Linked DNA regions of Xenopus tropicalis. The protein of the gene in region 1 interacts with the protein of each later gene in a biochemical or structural test. Links are inferred from orthologs where the notes say so. Each region holds a gene or a part of one and is shown on either strand. Other genes may lie near its edges. The genes, in order: pbx1 and hoxb1.

Region 1 (4,587 bases):
TGTGTACTTCTGCCTGTCCTGCAGCAAGTACAGTATACAAAGGAATTATAATTGTATTAATGTGGGGCTTGGGTTCCAACAGGCAAACCAGATTTTATTACTACTATATTTTGCCTGTCAGATAAGGAAAACGAATTGCTTGAAAAAAATAAAATATATAAAAACATAAATTAGAAAAACATGTAAATACAAAAAAACTCTCAGAATATAGACAAATATGGATTTATTTTATATTTAAACAGCAAGATGAATACAATAAAACTAAAATACCTAGAGCTAAAATTGCCACAGTGGAAGATAGGCATCTAAACGACACACTGGGGCCTGACCAGCCTTTGTCAGTCCACAGTGCATACTATAGATAATAAGCAAAGATCGCTGTTTGGCTACAATGGACTGAAGCAGAGTGATCCACACTTACGTTTATTCATAGTAGCTTTGCAAATCTCTATACGCTGACAAAGGAACGGCTGGGCATGACATGTCCAATTAACAGATTCTGAAAGGTCTGCTCTCTTGCTTTGTATAAGTCAAGCAAAAATACACTTCTTACTACTAAGTACATTTTGTTACATACTTCAACCTTTTGTAATTTCAATGTTGCGAGAGAATTTCAATTGTATATTTTAGTCTGCAAGTTTTCAGCACATATATATTTTTTTTTTTTTACACATATTAAATATGTATATATTTATAAATGGTATATGTGCCTTGAAATTATATACATGCAATGTGCACATGTACAGGGGAAATATTTCTCTGCGACAGCAACACATTTTAGATAAATGCCATCCAAAATCCCTTTAATCCAATTGAAGGAGTGCTGTAATTTCAAATTTAGTTCCGCCAACTGCACGTTTCTCTTGAAAAGCCTGCTTTTTTTCTATTTACCCGATTGGGGTTAACATGTTGAATTTATACCATAGGAGAAAGGTGTTGTGGGATTCCTCCTTCTTTAAATATTTAGAAATGCTGAACAAAGGCAAAAGTAGAAGGAAACCAAAAGAAACATTCATAAATTCTCAATGCACAACAGAGAATTCACTGCAAACCCTCTACATTGATTCTCATTACTAAGGAAATATTGTTTAGCTATATAAGAAAGTGTCAAACAATTAACTTACAAAGCTTATTTAATGCTGTCATTCAACCCTATTAGATGGAGAGTGTAGTCCATGCAATAAGTAATGTATTTAAATCTCTGATTTACAAAACAAAGGTAATTATATTGCTTGGATTTCCCATGTACTAAAAATCTTCCTTGGCAGAAAAATCCATGTTTACTCCCATTCACAGAACCTCTGTTCTTATTTAATTAACCAACATCATAAAAAGTTTATATAATGAAGCTATGCTTTTAATGATTATGTGTAGAGATGTATATTAAAATATGTTATATACAAAAACTCTGCCCGTCCCCATAAAATCAGTGTGTTTTGTAAATGAGTGTGCCCTGGACATGAGTTCTGTACATGAGGTTATTATCCCACCTATGACATATAAAAGTCCCTCTCTGTATTATAGAATGCAGTATATAGTTATATGGCGTGAATCACAATGAACAACTGTAAACAGATCTTTAGAATGCAGGAACTGCCAGTACAACGTATTTTGAGGCCCAGAGGATAACTCAACATCTCTAGTGCTTCCCTGACAGATGGAGAACTTCTTCCTGCCCGTTTCTTTTTCCTCTAAGGAATGAATATACCATACATATAGGACAGGGATGTTCAACCTGCAGCCCCCCTGCTGCTCCCAGAATCCTTTTGACAGCTGATGTGAAAGTTATAACAGAGCAACAACTGGAGGGTCACAAGCTAAACATCAAAGATCTAGATAGAAACTGTTGATAAATAGATTTTTTTTTGCATAATTTGGTGTTTTTCAAACCCCACTGGGTCAGTACCAGTTTAAAAATGTTGCCGTAAAAATGGAAAAGTGAAAGACAATGCAACCCTCCTGCTTAGGGGTAACAGTTTAGCGCACACATGTACATGGTATATACTGTACACACTTACTGTCGTGCAAATGGATTGCACACAGTAAACCTTATTACTTATACAGCACTAAGAATAAAAAGTATATAAACCAAAGCACCATGTACAGAGGTAGATTGTCAGCTCTATGGTGCACGTTGTCTGATACACGTTCACATATAACACAAGGTTGATAAACAGTAGCAGTTACTTTGCTAATGGGGGAAAAGTGGTTTGCTGGTCCAACCTCATACACACATCCATTCTAAAAATCAGGCAAGTCCACCCTGAGGCCCTGGAGCAATTAACTACAGCTCCCATCATCCCTTGACAGCCGGATGCTGTGAGTTGTTGCTCAGTTAGAAGTGGAGGGCCTCAGGCTGGACATGACAAGTATAAGCTCACAAATAGTATCCTGATGCCCACAGGGTCCCAGCCTAAAGCTGCTAAAAGAGAGAAAGAAGCACTTTGCAAGATCCAGCTCACCTGGCCTGTGCCTCATCCAGACTCTGGTCAGTGATGGTCATGATCTGCTGTAATATATCCCCAATGTCCTGCTTCCTGCCCCCCTCCCCTTCGTTGGCTCCTGTGCCATCCTGCATGTGTTGGGACAGACTGGGGTGTCCCGCCATCCCCACCCCGGGGTGGCTGTGCATCAACCTGGGCTGATCATCCATTTCCAGGAGCAAGCCCCGCTCTGCAGCACCCTGTGCCTGTGTTGTGCAGCGCACAGGGAACTCTTATTGTTCTTCTCTCTCCTGCCTTTGTTGTGGCTCCCTCCTGTTAATCCCAGGGCGCCAGGAATCCGTCCTAGTCAAGAAGAAAAGGTACAGTATCCAGGCACGGCGGTTCCGCGGGAGGGTGGGGTCTGTACCGGGCCAGGGAAGTTCTACACAGCTCGGTGTCCTGCTTTTGTTTGGGCTCAGACTCTGCTTTCCTCCCTCCCCTCCTGTGTCTATCCCTCTCTTCTCCAGAGCTGGCACACAGCGCGGAATGGAGACTTAGCCCCCCCTTCCGTCACGCCGATTGGCGTACTGGGAGGTAATGTACCGCCCCCCTTGGCTTTGGATTGGTAGTTTGGCAGGTCACTCCCCTCCCCCTTAGCTTTTCTCTTGTCAATCAACAAGGTTCAGAGGTGGGGAATGTGGAAGAGAGAAAAGAAGAGCAGAAAGAAAAGAGAAGGCAGTGGCCCCGGGGTCTTAAAGCGCTAGCGCAGGCTGGGAGAGGTGTATGGGTATCTTAGAAGGAGTAATTCCTCTGGACAAAGCCAGGCTTTAGTGGGTCTGCCCGGGTGGATTTCAGTGCTTTTGCCCCCTACTTGCTTTCGTTTTACCTTAACCCTTGTGCTTCATGAATGCCTGCCAACGCAATAAAATGCAGAGGGCCCCATTCATTGAGGGGCCCTACGTAATAGTTGAGTCGGTGTTACAGACTCTAAATCGGCCTGTTTGCTATTGTACAACTTAGTATTGCCGAGAACCCGAGCGCGATTGATTGGGAATAAAACGGTCTGGTGTTCACTTGGGTCTTCGCTTGTTTTGGTGTAAGTGAAAGCTCTTCGGTCCCCACACTGTGGGAGTGTCCCCCCAGCGGGCCCAGACTAAAGTACAAGTTAAAAATAAAGGCAACATATAAGTAGAAATATAAGTACATTTAGAACTGTTTATAAAAAGACACAACCATAGTTATATTTGAACTAAACATAGATATGAGTGAGTCTTGTTTGACTAAGCAAGAAAATCATGTATAAAAATCATCAGTGTCTTATGTTTAAACTATTGGTGTCTGACTTAATAACTGGTAGGTAATGTCCCTTTAACCAGTAACCGGGGTAGAACAATAGAAAAGATTCTAGAATATAACAATAGAACAGATTCAGTAGCTGATTTGGGCTCAGGGGTATAGAGTGCTGCACCTTATTATCATCCTGAAAGTTCATAAGCTAGAAGGGCCCAGTAATTTGTTTATTCACAATAATTCCCTTAGTAGATGTGCCCTGAAATGTTAGGTCCTTATGCAGTGATAAAATCTTGCACAGCATAGTTACTTATATTTCAGTTGAGTGAATGTGCAGTGTTAGCAAGAGAGTGTCAGGTTGGCCACAACTGTCATTGCCATGTTGAAGAAACCAGACATAGCAACAGGTAAGTGGTTACTGTGTGACACTGCTCTAGGTCAGGGGAAGTTGATAGGTTATCACTGGCTAGAAAGTGTTATTTAGGGTATTAAAAGCACATAAATTCTTAGATAAATATACAAAGATATGCCAAAAGAATGTTAACAAGTATAACTGAAGTCCCAGAATTCATTGTAGTTGCAAAAGAAGGGTGCACTGGTTGGACAGAATAACAATTGTAGAATTATTATATACATACAGACACAGGGATATACTATCAGTGACAATAACAGTTCCATAAGCAGCAGATACCATCATTTCCTAAAATGTGTAATACTATAAACTGACACTAATCTACAGCACTTTAACAGGCTCTGATATTATTTTTATTATTATTACATATTAATAAAGCACCAACATATTCTGCAGCATTCTACAATACATGACTTTAGAGGTGATGCATTTGTGTAATTGTCATTATAACACTCTTAGCAT
Region 2 (4,366 bases), on another chromosome or scaffold:
AGAGTGGGGGGAAACTCCGAAAACGAATCATCTGACAACGATTTGGACTCATGTAACGAAGATGGTAAACAGCGTCACTAATAAGCAAACGAATGTCATTCCCAAATGCAACAAGACTGAATTCCAGAAGAAATATTCCATTCTAGGTCCATGGATCACTATGCAGACTGAGCGAACGAATGTCAAACAATAAAGCCAAACTTGAGAGCCTGCGAGTACTTACATATGGAAACAATTTAAATACCACATCGAGCTTTAACTGCGTGCAATATTAAATTAACGAAATACTTATTAAGAAATCCTTAATCCAGTCGCTGTCATGGAAAGTGGGGGGATCTTGATTGCCCCGCTAACTCTGAAGCACAGTTTGTTCGTTAATGTCCTGTCTTGTAATAAATGTGAAATAATGCCCCACTATTAAAAAAGCGTGGAACAGTCGTTTACCCTAGTTACAATAATTTGACATCATAAATACAGTCGTACAGAAGTTAAACATGCCGCTCCTCTGGGATCCATAAGACTGGCTTGAACAAATTGTTCATTAAAAGAGATTTAGATGAAAGACTTGGGCTGAGGAAGAATCTTGTATGAACTCTTGTTCCACATCCCCAGACCAGCGCAGTTAGTACATATTCTGACAAGTTTTACAAATGAGGGTGGGCGTCATATTGTTACTTGCCCTTGTCTCCCGTGTTGTAACAAGTAAATAAATGTTGCTTACCTAACCGATTTCTATTAACACGAAGAGTGTGTGGGAGAGACTCATTTCCCAATTCTCTCTTTCCAACAAAGACATTACAGAAAGGGAGACACCTCACTACCATGAGCCCAGTGGGCTATAAAATGCCCCCACATTAATCAAAGGGGAACGGAAAAACTACATCACTTTGACAAATACCCATGTTCAGATCGAAACGTCGTTTTGCGGCCATTGCGTTCCCTAAGAGCAAAGCCTATCCATCTAACGGAGACACTCACTTTCAGTACTTATTGTTCAAAGGGAATGGTTTATTCGTTCGTTTATTCGTTCAAAAAACTATTACAAATAATTCCAAACCAAATAAATAATTGGAATTTTTTTTTTTTTGTATTTATTTTTGTTTTAAACTGATACAAACATTTTCCAGAATGGAAATGGATGGAGGATGTTCTGCAAACTCTGCCAGATGGAGCTTTGCTTTTTTTTTAAAAAAAAAAAACCTTTAGATTAAACAGGGTTTTCATCTAATTTGCCACATCTCTTTCTTTTTGCTAGAGGTCTTTTTACACTTAAAAAAAAAAAAAGTCCTGAATAATTCCGAGTTTCCCTTTGGAGGCTCAGAAGAAAGATTCTGATGCTAACTTGTCGTTATCAGATTGATGGGCCGGGTTTGATTGAAGTCTCTTTGTCATGCAAATGTCACTGGGCCATGATGGATGGGGCCCAGATATCTGACAAGCTTCAGGAGGTCCTCAGCCATTGGTCCCTGGAGAATCACGTGTGCTGTGGGTGAGAGACAGGGGGTTTGAAGCCTGGCAAGGCATGGATGGAAGTTTACACATTTGACATAGTACCTAAAGGTTGTAGGGCAGAAGGAATCCCCCGAAAGCAGGTTGACCCTCCTCCATCACTGGCAGATGGACAATACCAGAATGAGCTCCTTTCTGGACTATGCAATTTGTAACCGTGGGACGAGCGCCTACTCACCCAGAGGATACCATCACTTTGAGCAAGGGACGCCACCCTTCCCTGCCTGCCCGGGTACCAATGACATTTATAATGGGGATGGAAGGTTTGTGGTAGGAGGGGGGAATGGTGTCCCAAGCCATCTCCACCAGCAGAACCCCAGTTACCCTCCCCAGCCCAGCGCTGGGGTCCCCTATACCAACTCTCTAACAAGTTACACCCCACAGACTTGCAACCAGGCTTATGGGCACCAGGCTTATGCCAGCCCAGACGCAGATGGCATCTATTTCCAGCAGACAGCCTACTGCTCCAACACTGGGGCCAACTCCAACTCTTATTCTGATGGCTATTGTGGAGCAGTACCGGGGCCTGCCCAGTACCAACAGCACCCTTATGGGCAGGAGCACCAGGGACTGCTACAAGCCTACCACAACCCTCCTTCTATGCTACACGAAGAGAAGGAGCCCTCCTGCCCTTCAGAGCAAGCCCTACCCAACCACACGTTTGACTGGATGAAAGTAAAGCGAAATCCACCCAAGACAAGTGAGTACCAGCAAGAGCCATTGCTTCTCAGTGCGGCTATGAGTTATTATGGGCCTCCGCTTCACCTTATATCCATATACGTGGGCGAGAGCTATTACTGTATCATCAATCTTCTGTCATAGCCAGGGCTCATCAAGCTCCCACCCCTGCAATAAATCCTCTCATCATATACTACTCGCTCATCCATAAATGTACCACTGAGTCCTCAGAGTATGGGTGTATATATATATATACTAATGATAAACTAATATCTCTATATATACCACTGAACAGTGGGGCCTTGAGTCCTCAGAGTCTGTGTGTATATATATATATATATTCCAATGATAAACTAATATCTCTATATATACCACTGAACGGTGGGCCCTTGAGTCCTCAGAGTCTGTGTGTGTATATATATATATATATATATATATATATATTCCAATGATAAACTAATATCTCTATATACTATAGTGCATCTAATGCATACATTCAGAATGTGTGCAAAACAAATAATATCCAGAATATTTTGTTTTAATGGGGGGCTTAGAGATATGGGGTTCAGTTATAGTTACGACACTATCACTCTCTCCATCCAGCTAATAAAATTGTCCAATAATAATCCTAGGGCACAAAGGTGAGGATAGAAGCGAATATTTAGTCTTATAATACATCAGATTTGTAACATTGCCTTGTCATTTGATACAAAGTATAACAAAGCTCGTTTTCTCAACAAATATAGTTACGAATAACCAAGTGTCTCTAACTGAACTCGAATCCTGCTAAATATTCTTTAACGAATGGCCGTTTATATGCATGATTAGAGTTGTTTTTTTGTCAGTATTGTATTTTGATTTTTACTTGGCAAAAGTCTGGCGCAATTTCAATTTACTAGCCACAAAAAAGGAGTTGGAAAGCTAATGGCGTTTTAGGGTGAGGGGGGAAAGGAAATTGAGTAGTGTAGCCATGAAATGAATGGATTCCTGGGGTGCTCATGTTATCAGGGCTACTTACTGTATGTGTTTGCTCACCCCCTAACCTTCCCATAAACGGTTGTTAAAGTATTTCTATACGTTCTAATGAAAGTGTTCCCCTCTGCTTTGTGTCCCAGCAGCCAAACCGGTGGACTTTGGGCTCAGTACCCAACAGAACACCATCAGAACCAATTTCACGACCAAGCAGCTGACTGAGCTGGAGAAGGAGTTCCATTTTAACAAGTACTTGACTAGGGCCAGGAGAGTGGAGATCGCCGCCACCCTGGAACTGAACGAAACCCAAGTAAAAATATGGTTCCAGAACCGGAGAATGAAACAGAAGAAACGAGAAAGAGAAGGACTGGCCCCAAGCGCCATTAAGGGCTCCATGAAAGAGAATGGGGAGATGTCAGACCTGTCCAGTTCAACCTCCCCAGATGCCTCTCCCAACTCAGTGTAGCACAAGCAATGGACAGTAAGCAGAGCGCACATAGATGTTGTATATATTTTATTTTGTTCTACAAATACCTTCCTATTTATATACAAGATTAGTTTACAGGATCGTCATTGTATCCATGGAACACAAGGAAAGTGCCCGTTCCTCTCAGGGAACCTCAGATTTCAGGGGACACGCACTTGGAGAACTATCCATAAGCTCCTGTCTGATCCAAATGTGGCCTATTTATCCTTATTCCCATTGTGGGGGGGTGGGGGATGGGGGGGGTATAGTTCCTTCTGTTTGTTCTCTGGAATAGAAGCTTAGCCATTGGCATATTTTTATTTGATTGTAATTATATCATTAATGTTATAAGGGCTGATAATGTTTGATTCCAGTTATGGAACAAGATAGAATAAGAGGAAAATGTTATTTTAAAAATATTTTTTAAAATATCCCATTTTTGCACCTACACTATACTGGAGTGGTTGGCTATACTTTGTGCGCTATACAGGGTGACTTTAGGGGACTGCAATTGTTCTGACACACTATGGTCACAGCAGTCCTATAAAAGGAAAAAAGCAGCTATAAAACACTGCAAATGCATCTCTTGCTGTTCAAGAGACTGTGGTTGTAAGGCAGGAAGTATATTAGGGTGAAATGGTGCCTATAGTAGCAGTGGGGGGATAATAGCCTCTGGGAAGGGACTGGGGCTGTGGGATAGCAGGTATAGTAGGGAGAGATGGTGCCTATAGTAGCAGTGGG

Evidence for each region.
Region 2: the proteins of pbx1 (region 1) and hoxb1 are reported together in a solved structure, tested with the Homo sapiens proteins (2 studies listed by BioGRID and IntAct, with this or other methods). The link is inferred for Xenopus tropicalis from reciprocal best matches to the Homo sapiens genes PBX1 and HOXB1.

What each region holds. Positions count from the first base shown.
Region 1 is NC_030680.2:108,212,467-108,217,053, forward strand, and holds the start of pbx1 (pre-B-cell leukemia transcription factor 1), read right to left. Parts: upstream 2,917-4,587; 5' UTR 2,654-2,916; coding exon 2,463-2,653; intron 1-2,462. UniProt on the Homo sapiens protein: Transcription factor which binds the DNA sequence 5'-TGATTGAT-3' as part of a heterodimer with HOX proteins such as HOXA1, HOXA5, HOXB7 and HOXB8. Binds to the DNA sequence 5'-TGATTGAC-3' in complex with a nuclear factor which is not a class I HOX protein.
Region 2 is NC_030686.2:11,996,383-12,000,748, reverse strand, and holds the start of hoxb1 (homeobox protein Hox-B1), read left to right. Parts: upstream 1-1,548; 5' UTR 1,549-1,617; coding exon 1,618-2,209; intron 2,210-3,302; coding exon 3,303-3,625; 3' UTR 3,626-4,328; intron 4,329-4,366. UniProt on the Homo sapiens protein: Sequence-specific transcription factor which is part of a developmental regulatory system that provides cells with specific positional identities on the anterior-posterior axis. Acts on the anterior body structures.